2 linked regions of the Saccharomyces cerevisiae S288C genome follow. The protein of the gene in region 1 purifies or fractionates together with the protein of each later gene. This does not show direct contact. Each region holds a gene or a part of one and is shown on either strand. Other genes may lie near its edges. The genes, in order: YGR026W and RTN1.

Evidence for each region.
Region 2: the proteins of YGR026W (region 1) and RTN1 purify together in Saccharomyces cerevisiae (affinity purification with mass spectrometry, with the first as the bait; one study listed by BioGRID). This does not show direct contact.

The regions. Positions count from the first base shown.
Region 1 is NC_001139.9:524,652-540,506, reverse strand, and holds YGR026W (uncharacterized protein), read right to left. Parts: upstream 7,523-15,855; coding exon 6,686-7,522; downstream 1-6,685. Other genes in the region: YGR027W-A (gag protein), read right to left, coding at 3,128-4,450; 40S ribosomal protein eS25 RPS25A, read left to right, coding at 6,049-6,375; YGR025W (uncharacterized protein), read right to left, coding at 7,566-7,868; THG1 (tRNA guanylyltransferase), read left to right, coding at 7,911-8,624; MTL1 (Mtl1p), read right to left, coding at 9,588-11,243; post-initiation translation factor DPC29, read right to left, coding at 12,003-12,875; VMA7 (H(+)-transporting V1 sector ATPase subunit F), read left to right, coding at 13,178-13,534; UGA1 (4-aminobutyrate transaminase), read right to left, coding at 13,863-15,278; YGR018C (uncharacterized protein), read left to right, coding at 15,813-15,855; YGR017W (uncharacterized protein), read right to left, coding at 15,827-15,855.
Region 2 is NC_001136.10:916,348-932,240, reverse strand, and holds RTN1 (Rtn1p), read left to right. Parts: upstream 1-1,883; coding exon 1,884-2,771; downstream 2,772-15,893. Other genes in the region: homoaconitate hydratase LYS4, read right to left, coding at 1-1,112; HEM1 (5-aminolevulinate synthase), read right to left, coding at 3,143-4,789; COX20 (Cox20p), read left to right, coding at 5,331-5,948; IVY1 (Ivy1p), read right to left, coding at 6,095-7,456; PCF11 (Pcf11p), read left to right, coding at 8,435-10,315; chromatin-silencing protein SIR4, read right to left, coding at 10,594-14,670; adenylate kinase ADK1, read right to left, coding at 15,087-15,755.

The sequences.
Region 1 (15,855 bases):
CAATTTCATGTATTTACCTCTTTGGTATTTGATTTCCAAGCCAAGAATGTCATATTGAATTTCCTCATCACTTTCGCCTAGATTTATAATCTTGGTGTCGTATTGCATCTTAAGCTTGTCTATAATTCTTTTGTTTGAATTTAGATTTTTGCTAAACAATACCATATCATCTACGAATAAACAAATTGTCACTTGACTGTTTTTAAATACGCATGACCATCCACGAACTTCTTCCATACCACATTGTTGTATCAGGTATGATTTGATAGTTTCGTACCAGTTCGCTCCACTTTGTTTCAATCCATAAAGTGATTTCTTCAAACGTATCAACTTATCATTCATTCCTAAATGTGGTGGAGGTCTTATGTATAATTCTTCTTTGATGTCTGCATACAAATATGCCGAAGATATGTCTAATTGTGTAATATAGTAGTTATTGTCTAATGCAAGTGACAGGGATGTCATTAATGCATAGTGATGTACGGTATTGGATTGCATGCCTGAGTCGTAAGTGTCAGGATGCTGAATATCACCTCTTGCAACAAATCTAGCTTTATGAGTACCGTCACGTTTCTTGTTGAAGATAAACATTGAGTTTATTACTCTTTTAGGGTCTATTTCTTTTCTGTCATAATATTCGTCAGTGTCCCAAGTTTTCATCTTCAACAGTTGATTGACTTCTTTGTGGTATGCCTCGATATATTTTTCTTTTTCTTTAATATCTTTATTATAGGTGATTGCCTCATCGTATCGTAAGGTTGTCCGTATTGGTTTGATTGATTTTACTGCTTTTACAGCTGCAATCAGGTGAATTCGTTTCTTCGATCTCGGAGGTTCTAAACTACGCATATTCTTAGTATTCCATGTGTCTCGTGATACCTTAATTTCAGTTTCATTATCTTCTAATGATCTTTTCTTACTGTTGATAGTAGTATAGGCATTAGAGTCACCAATACCACCCAAACTGGAATTAGTTTGACGAGAATTGATCGGTGGGAGTTCTTTAAATGGGTCAGGGAATTCGGTAGGAGATTCTGGAGGTAGATCAGGGAGTGGGAGATCAGCGATGATAGATTCCTCGGTATTCTGTTCAGAAACAGTAGTTGGCGTTTTGATAGGAACAATATTGTGCGATGAATTATTTTCCGGTGGAGAAGCATCGATTGAAGGTGAACGGTGTATAATCCTTTTCTCAGTCTCTTGGTCACTTATCTGCGGAACAGTTTTGTTGTTGGTACCACCCGTACTGGATATTGGTACGTTTGTATGATTAGTCTCATTTTCACTGTACGAGTCTGAGTGTCTGAAATCTTTAGATTTACTGGCGTGCGACGACTCATGTGTGTTAGATTGGGACATGGGAGCAAGTAAAGGAACATTTAATTTATGCATACCACCCGAACCGGTACTCTCGATATTGGAAATTTGGGGGGTGCTAGATCTCTTCTTTGATGGAAGAATATTAGATTCAGATATGTTGGGGTCAACTTCTCTGGGTGCGCGAATATTGGTTTTAGAAACACGTTTCGAATCTTCAGTATGAGTTGACGGAGGTGTGGAATCGGTTGGACTCACAGCTTTTGAAAGGACATTTCTCGGTTGCTCAGGATGTAGTTCAATGTCGGATTGGAAGTCATGGTCAGATTCTATGTTAAGATCATTGGATTCTTGGATCTCATTTGACGCAATGAACGAATGATATGAAGCAGTTAAACGGTTTAAGTCTTCATCGAAAGTGAGTGCGTCGTAATTGAATTGATCTAATCTGGATTCCTTGCCCTGAAGAATAACATAGTTAGTTGTATCTACTGTCTTCTTTAAGGATGGAAGATAGATGATATATCCATAAGAGTTTCGAGACGGATGTAGAGCGTAGCCTGGGATGCCACGAGGATGTATTTTGGAGTTAGGGTTGTGATCATTGACGATAACAGGTTGACCGAAAGGTAACAAAGTACTGATATCAAGTCCTGCCAAGCCAGCATGTTGTCTTGCAGATTTTTTGCTTTTAGGTGAAGCTAGTGAATTTCTCACAATAGTAGAAAATTCGATTGCAGAGAACCATAAATGGTTCGGTAAACCACTACATTGCAGTTGAGTACGGCAGTCATCTAATAAGGTACGGTTTAGCCGTTCAGCGACTCCATGTGCTCGGGAATCCGCTGTGGTTGTATAGCATGGAGTTATACCATTTTTTTCAAGGAATTTATGGAGAGTTCTGTTAGTATACTCAGAACCACGGTCCATTTGTATAACCAAGACACTGGCCTGAAATTGGTTTTTAATGAAAGCTAGTATCGTGGTAAATACATCGAGGATAGAGTCCTCGCGACGGTCGTGCAATGGATAAACCCAACGGAATTTTGTTGTCTCATCAGTAAATGAGATGAAATAGGATGGTGCACTTTTTGGTAGGTTGTGAACTGGACCAAATATGTCAGTATGTAGGTATTGAAAGGGTTCGTATGAATTTTGGTATTTTAGTCGTGAACCTTTGATATGTCTGTGTTTGGTGCTTTTGCCGATTAAACAATCAGGACATTGATAGTCAATAGCACTAGACCAGTCGACATCTGATTCGTTAAAATACGTGATGGTGTTATTTTTAAGTGAGTATCGAATTGTCTGTGCATTGGCATGCGCAAGCATTCGATGAATGAAAGGATAAGGATATTTGCGTGTACTTTCACTTGTATGGACATTATTGATGGTGGGTACGGAGATATTTGATGGAAGCAAGTACCTTTTAGATACCCAGTAAAAGTCTCCATATTGTACGATAGGTGCAAGTACAGTGCCGTCAGATCGTTCTAAGACGTTTTTGGTAAAGCATGCTGTGATATCTACTGCAGCCAATTCATTCAAACTGAGTAAGTCATAGGCTATGTTAGGAGTGTGCAATACCTTTATTGATGTTTTGGTGTTGTCCTGGAAGTGAAATTGTAGGTCACCAATAGCGTTAATTGGTATATTTCTTTTTTGAGCATCAACTACGTTTATGTCAGGATTAGATGATGCTGAGTGTATGTGATGAGCAGATCTTATAAGGGTTCGTGATGCTCCTGAATCGAGAAGGAGGTGTCCAGGGAGTTCATCATCAGAATGATTAGTGTGATTTACCGTAGATTCAGTAAGTTCCTGGCCTAAGGTGAAGGTCGTGCTTATTGTTCAATTGAATCGGTTCAGTAGTTGATTTACTGATGGAATCGTTGTCCGTGCTGGGAGAGTTATTAGATGTGGATACATTGTGAGCCCTGGCTGTTTTCGATTTCGAATTATTTGTTTTTTGAGGATTCCGAGCTATAACTTTGGGTTTGGTTGTATTCGTATAGCTGCGAGAATCATTCTTCTCATCACTCAGATTTCTCCTGTAATTAGGTTTGCTGTTTCTCGATCCCTGTTGTTCTTCATAAATAGCATGGATATCTAAGAACAGTTCAGCGACTGTCATATTTAGATGTCGATGACGTGTGTAGCGTAAAAATTTATATTCGCCAGATAGACCTCTCATAATTAATTGGCATGCGACCTTGTTATTGATATGAATGCCATTATTGTTCAGTCTGTCGATAATGTTTGTGACTTTTGTTTCAAATGCATCTGCAGGTGTACTGCCATTATATTGCAAATTTGCCAGGGTCACAATGTCGTTTGCCTCTTGGGTATCAGATTGCATTTTTTCAATACTTTTGGAAAGAATTTTCATGATATCCGTATAATCAACGGATAGGATGTCTTTGACCCAGGTAGGTAGGAATTGAGAGGGAGCAAATATTTGAAAAGTGTTATACAAGAAGGTGAGTTCATCATCAGTGATCTGACGTACGGGTTTTCCGTTTACTGTCGGAATAATACCACCGAGATTCGAGTTTTGTAAAAATTTGATGTATGTTTTAACCCAATTTGGAAAGTCATTAGGTGAGGTTAACATTGGTGGTGGTCTGACATATTTTTTAGTGGATGTCATATCAGAGTCCGCTGAGGATGAATCAGTAAATGTATTACCTGACTCAGGTGATGGAGTGCTCAGAGGCGTTCCAACTGATGATGGATACTGCGGAAACTGTGATTGTGGCCCAGGTGGAAAGTACATAGGCGACATTTGATAAGGTGTATACGGAATCATAGATGGGTGTCCGTAAAATGACCAACCAGATGGATTGGCTTGGTTTTGGGTCATCATGCACTGCTGTGGGTACGGCCCATTCTGTGGTGAATGTGACTGAGCAGTTTGAGGAGAGGCATGATGGGGGTTCTCTGGAACAGCTGATGAAGCAGGTGTTGTTGTCTGTTGAGAGTTAGCCTTAGTGGAAGCCTTCTCACATTCTTCTGTTTTGGAAGCTGAAACGTCTAACGGATCTTGATTTGTGTGGACTTCCTTAGAAGTAACCGAAGCACAGGCGCTACCATGAGAAATATGTGAATGTTGAGATAATTGTTGGGATTCCATTGTTGATAAAGGCTATAATATTAGGTATACAGAATATACTAGAAGTTCTCCTCGAGGATATAGGAATCCTCAAAATGGAATCTATATTTCTACATACTAATATTACGATTATTCCTCATTCCGTTTTATATGTTTATATTCATTGATCCTATTACATTATCAATCCTTGCGTTTCAGCTTCCTCTAACTTCGATGACAGCTTCTCATAACTTATGTCATCATCTTAACACCGTATATGATAATATATTGATAATATAACTATTAGTTGATAGACGATAGTGGATTTTTATTCCAACAGAGAAAAAGTCATCAGATTCAATGGAAGCTGAAGCACTAGGATTAATAATGTTATGGAATTATGAACTACAACATAGAAAACAGTAAAAGAAAATAAAAATAACGTAATATTAGAAATACCGATTCCCTTATGAGGATTACTATATCGTCGAGTAGAGTATCTAGTGTATTTTGTATACCTAATTACAGCTTTGCAAGGAATTCCAAAAATTACCTTTGAAAAATGGGGGAATGTTGAGATAATTGTTGGGATTCCATTGTTGATAAAGGCTATAATATTAGGTATACAGAATATACTAGAAGTTCTCCTCAAGGATATAGGAATCCTCAAAATGGAATCTATATTTCTACATACTAATATTACGATTATTCCTCATTCCGTTTTATATGTTTCATTATCCTATTACATTATCAATCCTTGCACTTCAGCTTCCTCTAACTTCGATGACAGCTTCTCATAACTTATGTCATCATCTTAACACCGTATATGATAATATATTGATAATATAACTATTAGTTGATAGACGATAGTGGATTTTTATTCCAACAACCTTGATATCTAAATATCCACAAGAATTAAACTAAAACAAGCCGATATATCACTCCAAATACTTTATTAAGGTGGTTGATTGAGCTAAATAGTTCTTGCCTCTTCAGTTCAATATAATGAATAGTACTTTGTACACTGAGTGGATTCTAGCCCGCTCAAAATAATATAAAGCAAAATTCTATATTTTATATATGCATCCGTGCATTTGTGTAACCCATTCACCCATAAAGAGGTTCATTTACCCTGTAACGCGCGAAGACAAAAAAACGAAGGACGCCTTCTACAGGAAGAATTGTGCGACAGAACAACTTCACGAAGTATCTCTTAAAGTTCACGAAGCATTTAATACTATTAAGATTGCTCAGTTGAATATTGAAATCGTATTCTTTGTTATCGAAAACCGTCAAGCCCTGTTAGTTTTAGTGTATGTATCTATAAATTTGAAACCAATATTAGGCGGATAAGATGAAATAGTGACTGGCCAATCCAGGATTTAATATGTCATAAAAGCCTGTTCTACCTTAATGGGATGAATATCCATGTCTCTGTTATATGCTCCATAGCACAGATCTAGCTACCCATGGTACTTTGAGAGAAGGAAACTACGTACTTAGTGGTGATTTACAGTTAAATTCAATCTACAATTCAAGTCATTAGCAAATAGTCTTTATCCCAAATTCTACTAGAGTTCGGTTTTTTACTAACAAGTATGTTTTTACTTTTTACTTTATCATAGAACATTTAATAAATCATGCCTCCAAAGCAACAATTATCTAAAGCTGCCAAAGCCGCTGCTGCCCTTGCTGGTGGTAAGAAGTCTAAGAAGAAGTGGTCCAAAAAGTCCATGAAAGACAGAGCTCAACACGCTGTCATTTTAGACCAAGAGAAGTACGACAGAATCTTGAAGGAAGTTCCAACTTACAGATACGTTTCTGTCTCTGTTTTGGTCGACAGATTAAAGATTGGTGGTTCTTTAGCTAGAATTGCTTTGAGACACTTGGAAAAGGAAGGTATCATCAAGCCAATCTCCAAGCACTCCAAGCAAGCTATCTACACCAGAGCTACTGCTTCTGAATAAACAGGGAACGGGTTATATAATTTTAAATAATCTGTATTTTCAATAATATTTTTATGTATGTTTATTTGCACGTCACGTTTGTGTTATGGAAGACATCATTCAGGAAGTGATACATACAATAGTCTAAAAAAAAAAGGAACATTAACGGCTGAAAAGTCAGAAATGAGGTATAAAACGGTATTTAAGAGAATTGATTAAATTGTATGTATGCCGTCCATTTCTGTACGAGCGTTAGTGGCCAAAAAAGGTAAGAGGAGAGGAAAATAAGTAAACGAACATGACATCTGGTCATCTTAAGTTAGAGAATTTCTTACGCGTATCTGGCAACTTCTTCTGTTCTCTTTTCGTGCTCCTTCATTTTCATATAAATAAAGTTCTTTATAACCTGCCATTTGTCTCTATATTTTTTGGGGACGTATTTTTCAAACTTGACAAGTAACTCCAAAACAGCCACTTGTGCGTATGGAGAGAAGTTCAACCTCAACCAATAAATACCAACATAAATGACGAGCATAAATCCGGATGTACCCGTCTTAAACAATATAGTGTCTAGTGTTAGCGCTAAGATAACAAGTAATTCAGAGTACGCAAGTAAGTGTAGCATTTTTCTGTCTTTGGGTGTTAAAGGGATCTTTTCTTCTTTGTTAGCATTCAATTCGTAGTTCATTTTAGTTAGGTGTAGATAACTTAAAATCATGTAAGGCAAAATCTTGTAAAAAGACTTACCACCACCAAAGAACCATAAACAGGCAATCAAAAGGGTATGAAAGTTCTCAGAGGACAAAAGGTCATTCCAAGTAGGGTTAAGTCCAACCCAGTTCTGTTGCATTGTGACGGACTCAGACATAAATACGCCAATTAATGACAAACGGTACATTACCTGTGGGCTCCAACTCAAAAGTTTCATGTACCATCTCTTACTTTGAATAAACGAGTAATTTTTATTGACCCTTAAGAACAACCACTTCCAGGAACGATATTTGAAGAAGATTAGGACATGGTAGAAATACGTGATAGAAAATAATAAACCAAAAACTAAAGTTAAAACGTGTCCGATTTTCCAAACTAGTTTTTGTTTTGCTAAAGGATCGGATAGGTTCTTCTTTTTGGGGTCCTTCTTCCTGATAACTTTGATAGTCTTCGCCATTTCCAACGTTGTTGTTTTTTTTCTACAAAATTTTTATATCTTTCTATAATGAATTCTCTCTTTGGGTAACCAAGTTGAATTTAAATTTGGTTCTTGTGTATGTTAGTTTTTTTGAAGAAGCACAGCCAATTGAGTACTTTGACGCCGTGCAAGTGGGTATCCTATAATAAAATGGACATGGTCTTTTTTGGCGTAAGTATCCCTTGTCCTGCACATACGCTTTTTTCGCTCTATATTCTTCAGTTTTACCCGGATTGAAAGTTTTTATTGTTTTAAAAATCACTGATGGAGAATTAATTGAAGACATGCGGATAGAGAAAAACTTAAAGGGCTCATAGCCAGTCATGTGCCTTAATGTTCAAAGATTCTACTTCCTAATGCGAGCGGGATGGCAAACTCTAAATTTGGATACGTAAGGCAATTTGAAACACACGATGTTATTTTGCCTCAGTGTTATATTGTGGTAAGAATAGACGGCAAGAAGTTTCATGAATTTTCCAAGTTCTACGAGTTTGCCAAGCCAAACGATGAAAATGCTTTGAAGTTAATGAATGCATGTGCTAAGAACCTTGTCCTCAAGTACAAAAATGATATTATATTGGCGTTCGGGGAGAGTGACGAATACTCATTTATTTTGAAGTCAAGTACAACTTTATTTAACAGAAGGAAAGACAAGCTTGCGACTTTATTTGGTTCTTTTTTCACGTCCAATTACGTCGCATTATGGGCCAAGTTTTTCCCAGAAAAGCCGTTGAATATCAAGCATTTGCCATATTTCGATTCAAGGTGTGTAGCATACCCTAATTTACAAACGATAAAAGATTATTTATCCTGGAGATATGTCGATACACATATAAACAATCTTTATAATACGACGTTTTGGCAGTTAATAATAAAGTGTGGCTTAACTCCCCAGGAATCCGAGAAGAAACTATGTGGAACATTTAGTAATGAGAAACAGGAAATACTATTTTCTGAATGTGGGATAAACTACAATAATGAACCTGAAATGTTTAAAAAGGGTTCACTAGTAACAAGAAAAGGAGAAATACTTCATATTAACGTCATCGCACAGATAGATGAGTTGTTCGAAGGCTATTAATAACCTTTATATATATATATATATATATATATATATATGTATATCAGATCATCGTTGATTTCTAATGAACTTTCTGCACTTTCCTGTTATTTCCAAAGAACTGGGTTCCTTTATGTTAATATTGGACGATCTTTTAAAAGTTAAAACTAACTCATCGTTTCTTCAGTTTTGCTATCTTATTTTTGTGATGATAAAAAATATCTCCGCGACGGGGAATTGAACCCCGATCTGGCACGCGACAAGCGCCCATTCTGACCATTAAACTATCACGGAAGTAACTCGAGTGTTCGATTTTCAACTAGCAATATATCATATTGTTAGATACTTGCGGAACAAACAAAAATAATTACATTGGGAAAGTCGCTTTTCCATTTGTGGTGACCGCTACCCTTAGGAACAGGAACCTTAAGCTAACAAGGTAATTTCTTAGCTTCCTCTGCATTCTGTCTTGCCTTCTCCAGAGGATCCAAAATGGTGTTCGAAGCTTTTGCAGAGACAATATTTTCAAAAGATGGGCCCAAATTAAGAGTTCCTTTGAACTCTGCGATCCTTCTTCTCTTCCTTTGAAGTTTTCTTCCATGCGCTCTCTTTAGTCTCTAAACCTGTATCGTCAGCAGTATGCACTTGGGTGACATGTAAAAGTTTTCCAAATGCACTTTTCTTTCCAAGTGTAAAATAAAGCATTTCCGGATGGTCAAAATAAATATATAATACTTATTCCAAGTTTATAAAAGTATATGCGTTTATAATATTAAGTATATATGTATATATACGGGGAAGTGAACGTAGTGGTTATGTTATTATTTAGTCGTCAAAAAAATTGGGAAACCTGTGACAGAAAAAGGGAAAAAAAAGTTCTGTAATATGCATAAATTATTAGGAATTGAATCGGAAAAAGAAGAACGAAATGACCGAGGGTGATTTTAAGAAGAAAAGTTATGGCAAAGCTGCTTTCGCTATGATTTAATAGTTCGTGATATTTAAGCCGTTGTTTGGTTTCGTGTAATAGTTCTCGTCGATGCTAGCTTCGCTGTCATCATAAACACGATGAATGTTTTCATCGTGCATTACTTCATCTGCGTCGTTGTAATCTTGACTATTACTATTCGACATTGAATATGATGCAGATTTAGTAGGTGAGTATTGATCATCTATGCCTCTGTTATGGAAGTTGGATGATAGGTTTTCATCATTAGCGTCGTCGTCGTCGTCGTCGTCGTAGCCTTCAACATTAGTGTGTTTAGGGGTGTAGGGGTTGTCATTGTTAAGTATATCTTCTGGATCGATATCACCAAAATTCTGAATATTATTGCTGCCGATGGGGGAATCTGAGCTGAATCTTTCTGTTTCACCAATTTTTTTACCCAGCAAGAAATACCATATTTTGGTGAAAATGTTACTACGATAAGCTGTGACAATTTTACCGTCAGAGTCAATGAAATCCGTTTTTTTAGGCTGAACACAAAACATGTAAATCAATATTAGTAGAATTAGGATGAGGGGGGCACCTATGCCAACCACACAACCGATGATAATATTACGATTCTTTTTTGATAAGCCTGAGTGATGTGAATTTTTTCCTGAAGATGCGGATGCTGTCGGTGAATACGTTATTGTGGTATAGTAGTTAGAGAGGATGGTCTGGCCTTCTATTATACTAGTTATGGTTTTTGCCAAATTGGAATATTCGGAAGCGGGAGTAATAGAAGATGAGGCGGATGTAGAAGTGATTGATGAGGTAGGGTTTGAGGAAGATGAAGATGAAAATGAAGGATATGACGAAGACGAGTATATGGATGAAGAGGAAGATGTGGAGAGGGTGAAATATGATGATGATGATGATGATGATGATGAGGATGAGGATGATGATGAGGATGATGAGGATGAGGATGATGAAAATGAGGAGGAGTAGGAAAAGAGGGTGGATGAGGATGAGGATGATGAGTACGAGGATGATGTCAATTCGGATGAGGACGAAGGTGGAGATGAAGTTGAAGAGGAGGGAACGTACACTGAAGAAGTCGAAACGGATGTTGAAATTGAAGAGGAAATCAAAGAGCTTGAACTTTCCGAACTAAACGTAAACGTTGACGAAGACGTAGAGATAACCAACGATGAGCTAGTGGAAAGTGTGGAGGAGGCAACTGTCGAAGATGTTGATGCCACAGTGAATGTCGGCAGTGATGATGACGATGATATTATTGTTGATGATGAAGAGGAAGGAGATATTGATGATGATGACGATGATGACGTAACCTCCGAAGAAGACGACGATGTTGAAGACGACGAAACTTGCATGGACGAAGAGGAAAGTTCTGAGGATAATGTTGACGAAAGAGTAAGCAGTGAAGAACTTTGTGGGAAGGAAGTAAAGGATACTGAAGCTATACTCGGCGTTGATAAACTTGCGCTGCTCGTTGCATCGGTACTGGACGTAAATGACTCAACTGCGGAAAGCGAAGTGATGGAAGGAGCTGTGCTCGATGTTGTGCTATTAGCTGGAACCAACTCCTGCGAAAGAACACTTAGCGGTAGTGTTGTTAACGCCATGAGAATCGTTCTCCACATAGATAGGCTTGAAGCAGAGCTCTTCTTCCTGGTCGGATTGCAGCTTGCCATACCTTAACTACTTATATTATACTAACTGGGAGTAAGTTAAAAGTGGAAACGAAGATCGAACCAACCCGAAATGAACTAGAAGTGTTTAAACAAATTTCGGAAGCAATGGAGGATTATATCCCAATTATCTCCTCGGAATATATCCTTATTATGCCTTGGTCTTCCAATATGGACCGAAGAGTACTTACAGTAAATAGCAGTATCCTTCGTTTTTCATCTACACTTTTCTACCTAAAATTGATCTTCCCGAAGAAGAAAAACTAAAAACTTCGATTTGATGACTGTCAAGACCCCAAGAAAGAGGGAAAAAAAAAAATGATATCTCATGCAACAACAAGTAATTAAGTGCTCCTTGTTCATGGAAGACACAACAGGCACCACTAATAACCTGAATGAGGCACCTTCGACTTTCGAGATGAGCCCTTAGTTCATCCTGGTGTTGTGTTTGAGAGGGGGAGAGCACATCATTGTACTTCCAGATCCCCCTAGCCATGATCTAATATTACCGCTGAGTAAAAATAGATCTCGGCTGCGTCTCCGTCTCCGCCCGCCTTCCGTCGGTTACTTCGTCGGTTCTTGCTCGACCCCCGCCAGTCCGCAGACAACAGTCCGCAGCAGGCAAGTGCTGGTGTCCGCTTGGTGTTTTTACGTACGATTGTCTTTGTTGTTGTTTTTACTCTTTATTACAGTTATTACTACTGTTTGTTTAGTATATACAGGTATTTGTGGTATTGATTATTTATTTACGGTTTGGTTGGATTAAGCGTTGCTAGCGTTAGTGTACAACGACGTCACTTCGTCGATGTCCTCGAGCGCTGTGGTCAGTTTCTGTAGTTTCTCGAGCGTTTCATCGCCTTGCACGAAAACTTCCATATCCGGCTTGGCATTGTAGCCGATGCCCAAGTCTCTGATGTGGAAACCACGCTCCTTCAGTAGGGCGGCCACCTTATTGGTATCGGCAGGTTCCATCACCGCCTCGTAAGTTTGGCCTGTAGTTTCAGTTTCGGTATCACACTCTAAATCTTCTGCGTCTTCCTGCACAGGCGCAATGTCTTCGATGCCTTGAATCTCCAGTACGCTTTCTAGCACCTTGTCCTCAGTGTCTAACATCTTCGGAGGTACCATTGTAACGTATCCTTTTTTGTCGAAGAAAAACAACGTTGGAGTCATCGATCCATTAGCTTTATTAAATGCACTCCTTATCAGACCTATGGTCCTGTTCTTGTTGTCTGTCAGCGCTTCCACCACTATAGCGACCCCGCCGGGCCCCATTCCCTCGTATACACATAGCTCAGAAGCGTTTGAGTCCTTGCCCGATGCGCTGCTTCCAGAAGCTTTCCGGATGGCGTTCTCAATAACTTTTTTGCTGACATTGTTTTTATTTGCTAGCTCGATGCTGGTGGCTAATCTTATATTCATGCTCGGATCCGTAATACCGTTGCCTAACTTGACTGACATTGCTATCTGGTTTGCAAACTTGTTATTAATTTTGTTTCGTTCCGCATCATTCTTGGCTTTACCGTGCTTGATGGTTGACCATTTGTTGTGACCTGAACGTACCGAGGAATTCAGCACACTAAACGATCGAGAGTTTTTGAGCAGTTCACCCAGATACCTATTTCTTACCAACATTTTCCAATTTTTGATGCGTTCATACCAAGTTTGCTGTTTTTCTTAGTTATTATCATCATCTTTCCCCTTATTGCTGCTGAAACTTGCGTACGTGCGTACTAAAAAAATTTCACTGCGCTTACGCCGGTAAAGGGAAGTAGGAAAACGAAAGAAAAAAAAAAAATAAAGGCGAACGATAACAGGAAAACCAACGTGAATTGCAAGCACTACATTTATTATATCGAGTTGACAAAGAATTAAGAAAATAGAGCACTACATTTCTATATTCATAGCTAGTCTCACTGACGCATAGTAACTAAATCATGGCTGAGAAACGTACTCTTATAGCTGTGATAGCTGACGAAGATACTACAACTGGTTTATTGTTAGCCGGGATTGGACAAATCACTCCTGAAACCCAAGAAAAGAACTTTTTTGTTTACCAAGAAGGTAAGACTACTAAGGAGGAAATCACTGACAAGTTTAATCACTTTACTGAAGAGAGAGACGATATTGCCATCCTTCTAATCAACCAACATATCGCGGAAAACATAAGAGCTAGAGTGGACTCCTTCACCAATGCGTTCCCTGCTATTTTAGAAATTCCATCTAAAGATCATCCCTACGACCCTGAAAAGGACTCTGTATTGAAGAGAGTCAGAAAGTTGTTCGGTGAGTAAGCGAACGATCTTTCCCAAAACAAACACAATTACTGGTAGATTACTAGTAGCAGGCGGAGGTGGAGGGCGGGAGCCACTGTTATTGCGTTTGTATAATATATACACTCATAAATGATATATTTAAGGTTCAGATAAAAACAACTTTTTTTTTTTTAGCACGTCTTTACTGCAGTCACCAAACCCATTTTTTTTTTCCTATTGTGAATACCCGCCCATATTTTTCACACACAACTGATGAGTAATATAAAACTTTTCTTTAAAATTATAACAAGATACACATATATAAAGACCAAAAAAGGGAACGTGACACGGCCTCGCTAATATACAATCATAATTCATTAACTGATTTGGCTAATGCTTCAATAAAGATATCAGCATGCTTCTCCTCGAATGTTAATGAAGGTCTTAATCTCACTGCATGGACTGCACATCCACCAACGTTGCAACCATTCAACTTCAATTTCTTCAATAGTAAGTCTCTCTTCTCACCAGTAGGCAAATCCCAGGCAATGAATGTGCCTCTTCCTTTACCTCTCAAGTTTTGAAAGTTTTCAGGGTATTTCTTCTGCAAACCCTCCAATTTCTTGAACAAATAATCACCTACTCTTGAACATTGTTCAGTCAACTTCTTGTCGGAGATTTCCTGTCCAATGGCACCTGCAATGATCATTCTTGCAGGTTCACCACACCATGTGTTGAATTGTCTGTATGGTTTGTTTGGAATGAATTTAGGGTCGTGGAAGAAATATCCTGCACTTTGGAATTTCTTGGAAAAGGTCACTAAATCCACAGGTGGTTGAATATCGGCGTACTCATGACACCATAGCTTACCGGTGGCTCCGACACCTGTTTGCACTTCATCTATGATGTAGACAACGTTATACTTCAAGGTAATGTCTCTTAGCTTTTGTAAGAAATACTTAGAAGCGTGGTTATCACCTCCCTCAGATTGAATTGGTTCGATGATTAAGGCAGCAACTGGAATAGACCAGGTTTTGATTAATTCTTCAACAATGGCCAAGCAATGGTCATCCTCTTTACGGTTTGCATCAGAATTTTCATCTAATGGGTATTGGTAAGATGGATACTCAGCATGAGGCCAGTGGAAGGCTGGGAAATCCAACTTGTGAATTGGTTTAGAACAAGTTGTGGAACCGGAGGCAAACAATCTACCGTGGAACGCTCTCTTGAACGATAGTACGGCAAGATGAGGGGCGCCAGGGGCGTCATTGTCCATGACAGACAAGTTTTCCTTTTCAGAAAAATCGGCATCATAGCCCCTTTGTTTGGCACGGTAATAAATAAAGGCAGCCTTGAACGCTAATTCATTGGCATCTGCACCGGAAAGCCCTGACCAGACGTGATCTTGACCCTTTGGCGCAGATTTCAATATTTGCTTCAATATCTTGTCTAAATCCTTAGATGGGAAGTTACCTAAGGCAGGACGGTCGACCAAAGCACGGATCATTTCTGGTGATTGTGCTGCCTTGATCAAAGCAGGGTTGTTATAACCAAGTGCAATTGAAGAGATTTGGGCATACAAATCCAAATATGTGTTCCCATCCACATCAGTGATATAGTTACCTAAAGATTTCTCATAATCAGCCAAAAAATATGCTGGTCTTGTGTCAAAAACTTCACCCAGTTCCTTTAACTGCTTCTGGGATTCAGGACCAGGAATGGACTCGGTCTTAACAGTTGGTTTGGTTGGCTCTTCTGGGTAGTATTGTTCACAAATAGACATTGTTCTTAGTTATATTTCTTATTGACGGTTTCTTGTCTGTTCTTTCTGTAATGTAACACAGTAAGTGAGTATTTTGGGAGAAGGAAAAATCCTAAAACTATTGAAATTACAAATGGCCTTATATACAAATATATGTGAAAACCTGAACCAGATTCCCTTAAATCATTACATCCCGCGAGATTACTCACTTAATTTTACAGTAAACAGATCTGGCGCTTGCTTATACTACTGGAGACAAATCATATCCAATCACCGCACCAATGGATAAACATATTTGCCGTCCAAAGCGGCGATTGCTTTGTTCTATTATCTATCTCTTCCTTCAAGCGCCTTTGATTAGATTAACTGCCGGTGCCACTACCCACAGGAATCCCGCCCGCGGCTTTTGTCAAGCGTGGTAAAATCGCCGACGCTGATAATATACTATGATTAATGGATAGTTGGAAAGATTGTTTTTGTACAGAGATTAACTATATAGGTAGAAATCGAGATAGCGCGAATACAAAGCATTAACCATCGCGAACGTTAGCAATAATGATTGACATTTCTCACGGACACACTTCTTGTTCCTCCCACA
Region 2 (15,893 bases), on another chromosome or scaffold:
ACACCTGGAGCCACCTTGTTGACTTTGTTTAAGTCTCCAGTAGGACAAACCACATCCGCTGCAGATTGCAAATCAGATAGACGGGAGTTTGTACATGACACTAGATAAGCTTTATTTATCTTGATGTCTTGTTGAGATAGATCTTGCACGGTGTTGGAGACCTTAACACTATTTGGACCTGAGACGTAGTGAGTTAGCGTGGCTAGATCGATGATCAGTTTCTTGGCATAATGTGCATCCTTGTCTGCTTTCGGAATCTTCGCCTTTTCTTCTAGTGCGCGGATAGTCTTTGGATTAATCCTTGGATGATTATTGGTGCCCAGCTTTTGCAAACGGTTTTTATACCAGTCGATCAAAGTTTTGTCCACGGGGAACAAACCAGAAAGAGCCCCCCACTCGGTGGTCATGTTAGCAATAGTGAGTCTGTGATCGATAGGCAATGCATTCAAAGAGTCACCCGTGAATTCAATGGCGTGATTTAGAACTTGATCATTGTTGAAAAGCCCACATAATGCGACAATGATATCTTTTCCGGAAACACCCTGAGGCAATTGACCTTTCAACTCAACCTGAGCCACTGGTGGGATCTGCCACCACGTCTGTCCCGTGGCCCATATGGCTGCAGCGTCTGTTCTCACTATTGGAGTGCCCAGCGACCCCAGACCACCGTAGGTGTTTGAATGCGAGTCAGATGCGACAGTCATGTTCAAGGGGAAAGCATAGCCCTCCTCAATCATAATTTGATGACCAATACCTCTACCGGCAGGGTAGTGGTCTATATGGTGTTTCTTAGCAAAATTTTCGATGTTCTTGTACTTGGTCAAATTTTTCTCTGATTTGTTCTGAATATCGTGGTCCAGAGTGGTCACAATCTGTGAAGGATTCTTGATCTTGGTAGCGCCAAGCCCCATGAATTTCAAAGCTACAGGCCACGAATTATCGTGGGACATACAGTGTGCCGGCTTGATCGATACATAGTCACCAGAATGCACAACTTTACCCTCGGGAAGGTTGACCGCATACGACTGAACAATTTTTTCAGTTAGGTTCTGACCTTTCAACCAGGCCCTAGAACTGTGGAACGAACGAGTAAATGTGGTTGATCGTAGCATCTTGAAGCGATACAATTTTGTTTCCTTGCAAGTTCTATTTTATTGAAAAAGTGATATTGTCTACTATAAGAGGCAGCGCAAAACTAGCTATTGCACACACAAACACACGAGGATTCTTTTGTATATATAAATACCTATGGGGATATATATATATATATATATATGTGCGTGTCTGTACGTGTGTGTGGACATGAGATTGTGTATACCTGTGTATGTTGGTGATATTTGCTGCCTCTGGTATAGACTCATCGATTACAAAATTTCAGTCATCTCGAGCAAAATCCCGGGGGAAAAAACAATAAAAATTTTTTTTTTCCAAATCGCTCCATTCTGCTCACTTGACACGAAATTGTTTATCACTTGATACGTGTACATTTTACCGGGTTTGCGGTAATTTCGCACGAACAAGCAGTGAAAAAAGTCATAGGAAAATTTTTCACCGTAGCAGCCAACGCAGTTGCGTTTTTTCCAGTTTTTCCAACACCAGAGGACAGCTTTGGCTATTCTTTTCGGTGTTTGGTGCTGTTGTATCGCTGGCTTGTGGTATCTTCTGTTTCCTATTTAAAGTTGGTCAGTGCCCCCTTTCCAGTGGGCTTCTCCCCTGTGTGGGCTGTTTCTCTTCTATGGCACTTCAACTTCGCATTTTTCAAATTTTTATTCAACAATTCCCTTTTCTTGATCTCTTTCTTTTCAACTCTCAAGCCAAATATTTAATTGTTTCTTCCTACCCGCAAGCGTATATATATATAATATATATTCACACACGCAAATATGTCCGCCTCAGCTCAACATAGCCAAGCCCAACAACAACAACAACAAAAAAGCTGTAATTGCGATTTGCTATTATGGAGGAACCCTGTTCAAACCGGTAAATATTTCGGTGGGTCTCTGTTAGCCTTGTTAATTTTGAAAAAAGTTAACTTGATCACTTTCTTTTTGAAGGTTGCCTACACTATCTTATTCACAACAGGATCTATTGAATTCGTATCCAAGCTCTTTTTGGGACAAGGTTTAATCACCAAGTATGGTCCTAAAGAATGTCCAAATATCGCCGGCTTTATTAAGCCTCATATCGATGAAGCTTTGAAACAGCTACCAGTCTTCCAAGCCCACATAAGAAAGACTGTATTCGCTCAAGTCCCTAAGCACACTTTCAAGACCGCTGTTGCCTTATTTCTACTACACAAATTCTTCTCCTGGTTCTCTATCTGGACCATCGTCTTTGTTGCTGACATTTTTACCTTCACTTTGCCAGTTATCTACCATTCCTACAAGCATGAAATTGATGCTACTGTCGCTCAAGGTGTAGAAATTTCTAAGCAAAAGACCCAAGAGTTTTCTCAAATGGCTTGCGAAAAGACAAAACCATACTTGGACAAGGTTGAATCTAAATTGGGCCCAATTTCCAACTTGGTCAAATCTAAGACTGCTCCTGTGTCTTCTACTGCCGGTCCTCAAACCGCCAGCACTTCTAAGTTGGCCGCTGATGTTCCATTGGAACCAGAGTCTAAGGCTTACACATCTTCAGCTCAAGTTATGCCAGAAGTTCCACAACACGAACCTTCCACTACCCAAGAATTTAACGTCGATGAATTGTCTAATGAATTGAAGAAAAGTACAAAAAACTTGCAAAATGAATTGGAAAAAAACAACGCTTGAGTGCTTTTTTTTTTTCATTTCAAACAAGAATAGCTAACTTTTGTCTCTTTATTTACCACTACATATTACATTAGCCTATATATACTCATACGTTTCTCTCTCTTTACTTTCTGTACCCCCGAGGAAAAATACATAAATTATTTTTGAACTTTCCCTGCTTTTTTACCAACATTGCTACAGTTTAACCATTGCAGTTAAAAGTGCTCATCGTGTTAGTTAAATAAATAAATAATTAAGAGAAATAATAATAAAGTATCATACATAAATAAGAATAAAAAAAAAAAATGAAAAAAAAAAACTGTTAATTTTTTTTTTTACTGATTTACAAATTCCTTGTACCTCTATCTCAGCCCATGCATATATTGGTTGTTTTACTGCTTGATACCACTAGAAACCTCTAGTTGTTTAACGATGGGGTCTCTAACATTAGGGTTCAAGTCGTCATTAGTTAAAGATAGTTGGCTTGATGTCCATAAGTTAGACTCTTCCACAAATCCGCTCTCTCCAACACCCAATAAGCCACCTTGGCTTTCCCAGTCTCTGACACGTGGTAACTGTAGCTCATTGAACACATCATCAACTGCATTGATTAAGATGTCAGATAAATCGTTGGTGTGACCTGGCGTTGGGGTAATTCTCAATCTTTCGGTACCGCGAGCAACCGTAGGGAAGTTGATAGCTTGTACGTAGATTTGATGCTTATTGATTAAGATGTCAGAAGCTTGCTTAGCCAAATCAGCATTACCAATCAACACTGGGACGATATGAGAAGGATTTGGAATAACTGGAATGCCCAACTCATGGAAAGCTTTCTTTACGTACATGGTATGTTTCTGTTGCGAGGTTCTTAGGTCGATGTGGCAACGTTGGTATCTAATTGCTGCGGTAGCGCCTGCCATAACTGAAGGTGGTAAAGTCGTGGTGAAAATGAAACCAGGTGCAAACGATCTGAACCAATCGATCAATTTCCTAGAGGCTGCGACGTAGCCACCTACGCTACCGAAAGACTTACCTAAAGTGCCGGTGATCATGTCGACACGGTCCATCACAGTCTTCGCGCCGCCCTTGTCATTGGTCTTTGGGGTAGCAATACCACTTGCACGGTGACTTTCAAAATCACAATGTTCTGCAACACCTGCACCGTGAGGGCCGTACAGGCCGACCGCATGTACTTCATCCAAGAAGGTCAAAGCACCGTATTTGTCGGCCAAGTCGCAAATTTTTTCTATGTCGGCCACTGAACCGGCCATAGAATATACTGATTCGAAAGCAATTAGTTTAGGAACGGATTTGGGGTATGACTGGAGCAGTTGTTCCAATTCGTTCAAGTCATTATGTTTGAAAATGTGTTTTTTTACGTTAGCATGCTTAATACCGACAATCATGGACGCATGGTTGAGTTCGTCGGAGAAAATCACCAAGTCCTTCATCTTTTGACCCAGTAGGGATAAGACGGCATCGTTGGCTACGTAACATGACGAAAAAACTAAGGCACCTTCCTTCTTGTGTAAAGTGGCCAATTCGGCTTCCAGATTCAAAGTGGGGATGTTATGGCCAGCAATGTTTCTTGTACCACCGGCACCACAACCATACTTGTCGATAGTTTTATGCATGGCGTCCAATACCTCAGGGTGCTTGGAAAGTGCTAAATAGTCGTTGGAACACCAAACGGTGACCTTGTCCGCCTCTCTCTGGCGATGAGCTAGGGGGAACTCCTTGGCCAATCGGTTGATATTGTTGAAATATCTGTACGATTTGTCAAGTCTTTTCTTCTGCAGTTCGGAATCTATCAGGCCTTCGTAATCGAAACCCGACTCCTGGGTGGAATGGTTGGCAGCAGCGGCTGCTGCTGCTGCTGCATGTGTTGATGACGCTGTGGCAGTGGCAGCAGCGGCACCAGCACCAGTAGCGGTGGCATAGCCATTTTTCGCATGTGGTGCGGCTGTCGTGGACAGCCTATTCAGTGTGGAAACAGCGGCAGAGGAGTTACCGAACCTCGCAAAAATGGAGCGTTGCATACTGAAAAAAAAACCTAAGTACTGTTATGATTATTGAGGGACAACAACTAGCTCTATTAGTTTTCCTTCCAACCAAACTTATATGGGCAATATATAGGAAAGAAAAAAGAAAAGAGTGGGATAAAAAAAAAAGAAACGCGAGCTGAGAAGGGAAGGCGTGTAAAGGAAGAACGGTTGAGAGACAGCAGAGCAGGGTGCAACACACAACCGAATAGAGTATCAGCTGACGGAATGGAGAAGTTTGGTATGATGCAAACGTTGTATTTCTAACAACGCATGGATCAGAACAATGGGCAAGGCAAGATGAAAAATTTCCGTTCCTGCTCTTTCTTCATATATGAACAATGACCAAAAAGCGCCCGCGGCCGCAGACCAATGAGCGACGAAGGCGGCCTTTCCGAGCGGTAGGGTAAGCCGTGCAGGCAAGCTTATTATAGCACCGTCGGGGGTACCACCACTATATCAAACTCCACTGCTCGGTAAAGCATTGTAGTGAAGTCCACAGCAGTGCGTAACGAGCAGCTCAACAGTTAATATAAAGATGCGTTGGTGGCCGTGGTCAAATCAGACAGAAGATCAAAAGCAGCAGCAACAACCGCAGGGTAAAGCAGATGGTGATCGCGTGCTGACAAATTACTCGCGGGGTCAAAAGATCCTCTTAGAAGACACTCCACCCAAGTTTGCCGATGACTTGTCCAATTCTCAGTTGGCCAAGAAGCAAGAACGGGCTACTTTGAAAGAGGCTTGGGACTCGATCAGATGGAGTGATTTTAGTTTGCAGAAGCTGACTTCAATCCCGTGCTTCAGAGACGCGGGCATGCTCGGGTTTTCCAGCATGTTCTTGATGGGATCTATTATATTTATATACCATAAGAGCCCGACTAAGGCCACGAATTGGGCGATGAGCTCTCTGATACTGGGCTCGATTGTCGGATGGGAGCAATGTAGGCTAAAGAGACAAAAAAGTTTCCAGATCGCACAATTGGCAAAGGAAACCGTGGCGAAAAAGGAAAAACCAATGCTCCATAATGTCCCTCATGACCCATCTCTGCCGGGGCAATGGGAGGCCGCCAAAAATGAAAAGCAGAGTCAGTTTGAACAAAGTAACCAGAATTTATCTCAGGCCTCCTCTGAGAAGAAATGGTACAAGTTCTGGTGAAAAGAACGAGGGGGAAACAGAAGGTAGAAGCAGGGCCTTTTAACCGTTTTCCTATGTATATATGCAACATTTCTCCGAAAATACTATAACTTCAATTGTTCACTTTCTCCATTTCTATATAAAAAGCATACATAGAGTTACAAATTTTATATATTACTTGACTGGTCTTGCATGCCGTCCGTATCGCTGCTGTGATTGTCATTATCTTCTTTAATGGACAATTGTTTAAACGTTTGTGTGGTTTCCTCGGCAGAGTTTCTCGTAGGCGGTAAAGAAAATGAATTTTCTGTTCCCATCAAATTGTCTGTATCCTCATCTTCGCCATTTTTGCCGCCGCCATTGTTTCGTACCCCGTCCTTGTTTGAACTTGACTGTGAATGATTCGGTGTGGATACCGTTGAGGACCCCTTGGATTTGGGTAAAGATGTTTTTGATGTGGAAGGTTGGCTGGTTCCTTCTAGTAGTTCATTGAGCACCACGTCATTCCCACCCGTTTCCTCATCGCTGTTGTATGCTTCTCCAGCAGTCTCTCCATCACCACCGATGGTCCCGTATGGCCCATCTGCTTTTTTGCTGAAGGGGTCGTCTGCATCACAAAGTAGTTCGTCTAGCCCGCCTCCAGACCAACCTTTCCTTGCAATATTTTCAGAAATTTCCACTTGTGCCCTAGATACCGTGGCAACTTTGCTGAGTACTTTGTTGCATGTATTTTCCACAAGTTCGTATGAATCCATGTAAAAATCGTGCTTTAGTGTCTCCAGTTGATCTAACCTTGCTTGCAAGCTAGAAAGGCTCTCTCGGTATGAGATTAAATTCCTTATTTTTCTTTTCGAGATATCGAAGTTATGTCTTTCCTGCAATTTCAATTTTAAACTTTGCTCTTTGCTTTGTGCTTTGAACTTGTTCTCCATTATCTTGGTCTGTAATTCGAATTCATCAATATCATCAATTAAATTATCTCCCAACAAGTCATTGAAATACTTTGACATTATAAGCTGATGATTAGATAAAAGGTAGAATAACCCACTGGCACTCAATAGTTTCTCCGCCGTTTCATCATTGCAACCCTTCAACTTGGCAATGTTTTCTAAGGAATGGGCAATTTCTGCCCCATTCTGAGATGTCTTTAATAACGAATCCGAATAAGCATTCGAGTTCCTGAGTAATGTCGATAGGGCTTCCTGGGTCTCTTTCACATCTCTCTTTGTGATTAGCGTTTGCAAGTCGTTTATTGTGCTCGTACCAGAAGTTATGCTCGATGCCCGACGGGCCTTTGAATACACTTTGGATGAACGTAAATGGTTCATGTCGTCCAGATGGTCGTTATTTTCTGAGCCAGCACTGCTAGCCACTGGTCTTTTACTATTTACAATTGGGTAAAATTCAGATAGATGAGGCGCGTATCTGTCGGGAGAGACGTCAAAATGGTTACCGTTGTCCCAGTCAACCCTCAGTCTCTGGTCACTTGAAGGAGATCCCTGCAATTGCTCCGTATTATTGTCAGGCATATCCGATTTCTCTTCCTGTTACTTTCTTTAACAATATTTTATTCCTTGGTGAAATTTAATTGACCCTTTATTCAGAATATATACTTCTATTGTATGGATATGGTTTTTTTCCACTTAATGTTTAGCATAAATTTCCATCTCACCCTTTTCTTGTAACATATCGCCCAATATTTTTTTCTTTTGCCCGCATTGACCATTTTTTCCTGTAAAACGAGTAATGTGAGCAGTAGAATAAGTGTATATCATCCGTTAAATAAGGCGCAATCTACCGAAGTTTGAGATCTAACTCAAGTTTTTATAAATTAGATACGTTTTTCCTTACTATTCTACATGAGATGGCCATTAGCATGAGATGACTTCAATACGCACTTCTGTTGGAACGCAGATAGGATGTTTACACTCGTCTGCTCTATTCTTTGTACTTTCAATAGAGCAAAGCAAGTGGTACCAATGAAGAGAAGGCCCAGCTGTTTTATTCCAGCGGCGAAGAAGTCTAGCCTATTCCTAATGTATTAGTACAGCTATACAGAACTTTCTCAGTCTAATTTTTGATGTACTTTTATACATAGATTTACACACTTTTCAAAACGTACTTACGTAGTCGGTTCAAGGGATACACCAATTTAGCCAATGAAGCTGGGCCCCAAGTGATCAGAGTTTCGTAATTGAGCTAGGATTTGCTGCTTTTTATTCCCTTTATCACCAAATGGTATTACCTAGTGCATCTAAGTTTTAGTTTACCCGGGCGAATTTTTTTTAAGGACTCGACGCATTGGATGAGAACTTGGCCTAAGGCATGGGAAGAAAGCGAAATTTCAAAAATTAATGAGACAATGTTGTTCTACTGTTAAGGGTTTAGTAGTTTAAAAGTCTCTCTTTCAATTTTGCATTGCAAAGAATTACCAGGACAATTTTCGGAGCAGTTAAGAAAACTGTACTTGAAAACACTAGGTCTATTTGTAATACTCTCTTTTCATTATGGATCACGACACAGAAGTTATAGTCAAGGATTTCAACAGTATTCTTGAAGAATTAACTTTTAACTCGAGACCCATTATTACCACTCTCACGAAGTTAGCAGAAGAAAACATTTCGTGTGCTCAATATTTTGTTGACGCCATTGAGAGTAGAATTGAAAAATGTATGCCTAAGCAGAAGCTATACGCTTTTTATGCCTTGGACTCCATTTGTAAGAATGTTGGCAGCCCATACACAATCTACTTCAGTAGAAATTTGTTTAACTTGTACAAAAGAACATACTTATTGGTGGACAACACCACAAGAACAAAACTCATCAATATGTTTAAGCTTTGGTTGAATCCTAATGACACCGGCCTGCCTCTGTTTGAAGGCTCAGCACTGGAGAAAATTGAACAGTTTTTAATAAAGGCCAGTGCTCTCCACCAGAAAAACCTGCAAGCAATGTTACCAACTCCGACTGTTCCCCTCCTATTAAGAGACATTGATAAATTAACTTGTTTAACTAGTGAAAGGCTAAAGAATCAACCAAATGATGAAAAATTAAAAATGAAACTGTTGGTTTTATCTCAGTTGAAACAAGAACTGAAAAGAGAAAAACTAACTCTCAATGCTCTGAAACAAGTTCAAATGCAACTAAGGCAGGTCTTCTCACAGGACCAACAAGTTTTGCAGGAAAGAATGAGGTATCACGAACTTCAGCAGCAACAGCAACAACAGCAGCAACAGCAACAACAACAACAGCAGCAGCAGCAGCAGTATCACGAAACTAAGGATATGGTCGGTTCTTACACACAAAACTCTAATTCAGCGATTCCATTGTTTGGAAATAATTCAGATACAACGAACCAACAGAATTCTTTATCTTCCTCTCTTTTTGGTAATATTTCTGGCGTTGAATCTTTTCAAGAAATTGAGAAAAAAAAGTCCCTAAACAAAATCAATAACCTCTATGCATCTCTTAAGGCTGAAGGGCTCATATATACTCCACCAAAAGAATCCATCGTAACGCTTTATAAAAAGCTAAATGGACACTCAAACTACTCTCTTGATTCACACGAAAAACAATTGATGAAGAACCTGCCAAAGATACCCTTATTAAATGATATTCTTTCTGACTGCAAAGCTTATTTTGCCACGGTTAACATCGACGTTTTGAATAACCCATCCCTGCAGCTGTCCGAACAAACTCTTCTTCAAGAAAATCCCATCGTCCAAAATAATCTTATTCACTTATTATACCGATCCAAGCCAAATAAATGTAGCGTGTGTGGTAAGAGATTTGGCAACTCAGAAAGTGAAAAACTACTACAAAATGAGCATTTGGACTGGCATTTCAGAATAAATACAAGAATTAAGGGATCACAAAACACAGCAAATACAGGCATAAGCAACTCTAACTTAAATACAACTACCACAAGGAAAAATATTCAATCAAGAAACTGGTATTTGAGTGACTCTCAATGGGCAGCCTTCAAAGATGATGAAATTACCTCCACAAAGCATAAAAATGATTATACTGATCCGCATGCCAATAAAAATATCGATAAAAGTGCCCTAAATATTCACGCTGATGAAAATGACGAAGGCTCTGTAGACAACACTTTAGGAAGTGATAGAAGTAACGAGTTGGAAATACGGGGAAAATATGTTGTTGTACCAGAAACTTCACAAGATATGGCCTTCAAATGTCCAATTTGTAAGGAAACCGTTACTGGCGTTTATGATGAAGAATCTGGTGAATGGGTTTGGAAAAATACTATTGAAGTGAATGGCAAATATTTCCACTCGACATGTTATCATGAAACGTCGCAAAATTCAAGCAAATCTAATAGTGGCAAGGTCGGTTTGGATGACTTAAAGAAATTGGTCACAAAATAAGAGCAGAACTGCATATATACATTTAAATTTAATAACTATATATTATATTAAATTCTTTGTTCTTGGTATTTGATGGGTTGCTCATTTGTTTATTTTTTTTTTTTTTTTTTTTGCTTATGTGTCCATTATATTATATGTAATTTTACATATGTAGCCAAAAGCCCAACTAATCATTAAAATCGATTAAAGACCGTAAAGTAAATTGTTCATTATAGAAGAAAACGACAAAGAAAAACAGGGTACACTTCGTTACTGGTCTTTTGTAGAATGATAAAAAGTCAATACGGTTTTATCTCCTTATTCACTTGAAAATCTTTTTCCATCAATTTGTTAATTTTAGCATCTTTTTCAGATATTTGACTTCTCGCATTTTCAAGACATTTCTTTGTAAAAGTTAAATCACCTTGAAGTGAAGTTATTCTAATTTCATTCCTCATAACTTCATCTGACAAAGACCGAATAATTTCATTTGCAACAGCCAATTGTTTTTCCTTTTCATCCAGCGCCGATGCTGCTTTCGACAAAACGATATCCACAAAGGAAAGACCATCTTCTTTCATGTCCTTCGAACATTCGGTGACACTATCCTTATTATCAATTTCAAGTTCTGTTTTTTGGGTTGATGTGTACATATTTGATTGTTGAGTACCAGTTTGTGAATGTGTTCCTAAAACGTCAACACTAGTTAAAATTTCTGTTGTATTACTGTCTGTTATATCGTCGAGTTGTTTCACTCGACGATCTTCAACGATTGGAACCCTTTTTCCAACAGAAAAATAGCCGTAGGACGCAGGTCTTGAGAAAGAGAGTGAGATGTTTTCTGATGCGTGCTTCCCATTTCCAGGGATTATTTTTGCTTTGTTAGAATTAAAAATACTGTCGAATTGCTTCTTTTCTGGTAGGGTTTTCGTTTCCATTGTGCTCAGCTGCACCAAAGACTTCACATCTGGCGGAGAAGAAGGCTTCACATTTTTAACCATTAACGGTTTTTTTGTAATTTGCAGTATATCCTTAGGCATAATTTTGGCATCTGCCATATGCTCGGGCTCGACCACATGTGGTTTGACCGACGTGGATATAGAAACAGGTTCACAGGACTTCTGAATATCAAATCCCATGTTGGAAACAAATCTCTGAGTCTTCATAAATGACCAAAATCTGGCTTTTTTTGCATCAGGCTTGTTCTGTAATTCGTTGTAGTAAATCTTAATTTCAGAACTCATTGGGTAATCTTCTATTTCACCTTTCAGTATAATGATGTCACTCTCTCTAAAATTATTGGAAATTGCTGATTTAAGGTTGTTAGCAAATATATCTTTAAGTAACTGCATTTTTTCGTTAATTATTTGTCTATCACTGTCGGAAAGCTCCGAAGGGAACTCATCAACCAACGAAACGGAAATAAGTTTCAAATTTGCAAGCCATTCTTGCCTCCAAGAGCTTTTTGAAAGGTTCTCCTTCGTGTTTTTGGGTTTGCTAGAATTAGTATCACTATGCGACACTCTTCTATTGCTTTTAGTAGGCGTGGTACTTAGCTTTGTTTCTTCGAATCCTAATGGAGAAGACACGGTTGGAATTTGGGATGGTTTAGCGGAAGAAGAATTTTGTTCTTGGCTATGTTTCCCTATATTGATATTTTTATTGGTCACATCATTTTTTTCAGTGTTATTTGTGTTTTCAAATGTAGAAACTGCATATAATGGCAAATATTGTAATCTGTCCTTCTTGTGCACTTGTTGGTAAAAGAAAGCACTTGATGTTTCATAGTTTTCAACAGAGCAAATGTCGTTAGTCACACTAGTTAATGGATTGCCACTTAAATAACTATGTTTTGGGATCCCTTGTTCAATAAGGTCAGTTATTGTTTCTTTATCGTATGTCGTTTTATCAGCTATCCTCCAAAGAATGTTTTTCGTCAATTCACGATCAGATTTTCGCCAATCCAATACAGGATCAAACCATTTGCCTGCCTGAATTTGGTCCTTTTCAGCACTTGTATCTAAATCATTAGTTACTTTGATTTCATTTGATTCACCAGAGCTTAAACTTTCCAAGTCAGTTAGGCTATCATTATCTGAAGAAGAATCGTCTGAGTCGGACACGTATACCAGCTCCATTTTTCCCGGGTGAGTTATTATCGTATTCATTCTCCCACGGCAGATCTTCTTTTTTTCAATTTGCTCATCCTCTGTATGATTTGCGAAAGATTTCTTTGAAGGTTGAGATAGAGAAACTGGAAAATTATCGCTATACTCATGCTTACTTGCACTAACTGGCTGAGATAGAGACACCTTATCAGTCTTATTTTCTGGCTTTTCAGTGGAAGCGATAGTTTCCAAAAAATTGGCTTTTTCTTTTGACAGAGCATCACTAGAAAAAGGTTTGCTTTCACTTTTAATGAAAGGAGCCTTGAGTACGTTTGAAAACAAATTTAATAAAGATTTGCTTTCAACAGCCTTGGAAACCGGTTCATCCTTTGATTTAACATTCTCCCGGTCAATCTCTGAGGATATTTTTGGAGCAGATTCAACCTGAAAAAGGTCATTAGTTCCAATTTTTATATCTTTTTTTTGTGTAACTTTATGTGTGGAAGGAAGAGCAGTGTTTTGTGATTTATTTAAAGGGTTTTGAATAGTTTTCTTAGCCTCATTTGATGATTCTTTCGTATGCAAAATATCTCGCACAATTTCCTTAGGCTCTAATTTCTTTTGGATGTTTATTGTACCGTTTGAGATATTTGGAGTTCGCCCTTCATTAGGCTTATGCTTTTTCATAGGATTCGGTATTTCTCCTAGCTGGGGCCTCTTTGATGGTGTAACATTCAGGGTATTGTTTCTCGAATCAATGTGGGATTCTCCTTGTACTTTTTGAAGCACTTTTCGACCATCTATTCGTACACTCTGTATCTGCTTTGTGGTTTCTTCGGTTACTTTGTTTACGTGAGCTTCAGTGCTCATGATTTCAGGCGGCCTCTTACCAATTTTCTTGTTTTCACCATTTTTATTCTTTGCAGAAGTGTTCATATCATTTTTCTTTTCTGTGCTTCGAGAAGTAGAGTTATAGTTGTTTTCTTGGCCTTCATATTCAACAAGAAAAGCAAGTTTTGTAGTTTCTTCATCTCTAGTGGAAAAATTTCGGCTGTTTCTACGCCCTTGAGGTCTGTCAGCTGGACTTTTCGACAAATGAGGTGACTTTAAGATTTCCATCCTCTTGAGGTCGGCGTCTTCCTTCATTTTTTGTTCAGATGTTATAGGCTGATGCTTCGAAGGTGCAAGTGTTTTCTCATCGTGCAGTGTTATTTTATCTTGATCAATGGCGACTTTTTTTGGAGATGGAACGATCTTCTTTGATGTTAGAGTTTCTGTCGTGGCTGACGTCCCATTGGTATCTAAGGCCGATGCGACCGTACTATTTGCACTATTCTCATCTAATTTTACTGGTTTTTCTTGATTTATTTCTAAACGCTCGTTAGTAGATTCCTCATTTATTCCATACACTTCTGTTTGTATGGCATTCGGTTTTGCAATTCCAGGACTTCTTGCCTTGCTCTCCTCCGGTGATATACCACTGTCACCGGCACTAACCTTCGGAACTGATAGTGAATCAGAATGGGCAAAGTTTTTACCTATATTCAACTTTTCTTCTTTTTTTTCTTCTACGGTATCTTTCCTGATAGATTTGTCCTTGGTCAAAGAAATCACAGAGGCGCCGATGTCTGCTGATCCTTTTTTAAGTGGCTTCTCTAAAACAGGCTGTTCGTTTGCCAAGTTTATGCCTAGAATCTCTTTAGAGTAATCCCTTATTTTCTCTTCACTTAGTAAGCTTTTTACTCCTGATAAAAATGAGTTATTGGTTTGTGATGTTGATATCGGTACTATGGTACGTACAGGCTTTGAATTGAAGGTAGAAGTTTGTTGCTGCGCATGCCGGGAAAATGCTGTTTGTTCAAAACTTGCTAGAGACCTGCTAGCATCATGTGAAGGATTGTTTGATTCAATTCTTCCTGCTGACGTTTTGGACCGAAGAAGGGAGAGTAGTTTGCTGTTGCTTATTTTTTCCAGATTTGAGTGAGGAAAAGAATTATAGTTATTTTTTTTCAGTGGTGAGGATTTTGGCTGTTGCAACTGTTTATGGGAAGTCGGTTTTACATCACTTGGTTGATGAGGTGAGGTATGAATTGCGGTTGACGGCCTTGAATAGTTTTTGCTTTTGGCAAACGTGAATAATGGAATTTTAGGTGTCTTCACTTCATTGGATTTTTCTTCTCTTTCAGGAATTTTATCATTCGGGGTTACTGGTTTTTTAGTAAACTTGGGAGTGCTGGACCTATTGGGTGTCTTATTGTCATTTGGCATTGGCTGTTTTCTTCGCTTTTTTGGTATTGTGGGTTGAAGCTTCCTTTTTTTTTTTATCCCCTGCAAAACGATGTCCAGTTAGAACTCTGACTGAATTATAAAACCTGAAAAGCGCTTATTTCGTTATAGGTTTATAAAAAGCTTCACTATTACTGTTATACCGTTTTTGTTTATGTGATGCGCTTTTGTTCATCTATTTAGTAATATGATTTGCGTTCGTTCTCAACGATAAAAATATTGACTAAGTACTTAATGGCAGTGCACATGTTTAAGGACGTTATAGCCAGTTACAAACACTTATGTTATTATTTCATTTATAGTATACTGCGGATATATGTACTCACATACAAAAATTTATTATATTTTCATTAATTTAAAAAAAAGAAAAGATATTTAGAAGACATTGCGCAAGGTCATTAATCCTTACCTAGCTTGTTCAAGATGTCAGCCCAAACAGTAGCAGGAGGTTGGGAAGCATCAACACCAGCCCAGATACCGGTCTTTTTGTAAAAGTCAACAATTGGTTCGGTTTGAGCATGGTAAGCAGCTAATCTCTTCTTCAAGGCGTCTGCATTGTCATCAGATCTTTGAACTAAAGCTTCACCGGTGACGTCATCCTTCATGTCTTCCTTTGGTGGGTTAAAGATCTTGTGGTAGGATCTGCCAGAGGCTGGGTGAATTAATCTACCGGTAATTCTGGCAACCAACAATTCATCATCAACCTTCAATTCGATGGCTTTTTCCAAAGGAGTTCCTTGTTCTTTCAACATTTGGTCCAATTTTTCAGCCTGAGGAATGGTTCTTGGGAAACCGTCCAAGATGAACCCATTCTTACAAGCTGGATTGTTGGTCAATTCATCCTTGATCATGTTAACCATAATGTCATCAGAGACTAAACCACCTTGGTCCATAATTTTCTTTGCTTCCAAACCTAATTGAGTGCCCTTTGCGATTTGAGATCTCAACATGTCACCAGTGGCCAAGTGAGCGGCATGGAAACGCTCTTGCAAATTTGGAGCTTGAGTACCTTTACCGGCACCAGGTGGGCCAATTAGGACCATTCTAATGGATTCTGAGCTAGACATTACTGTTATATTTGATGCTGTGTGGTGACTTTACCAGAGAAACGTTAATGTTTCTTTATTAAAGCTCTCGTTTCTGATAAACCAGGTAATCCATTTCAGAAATTTATGCGTATATATATATACAAATATGCGTAATAA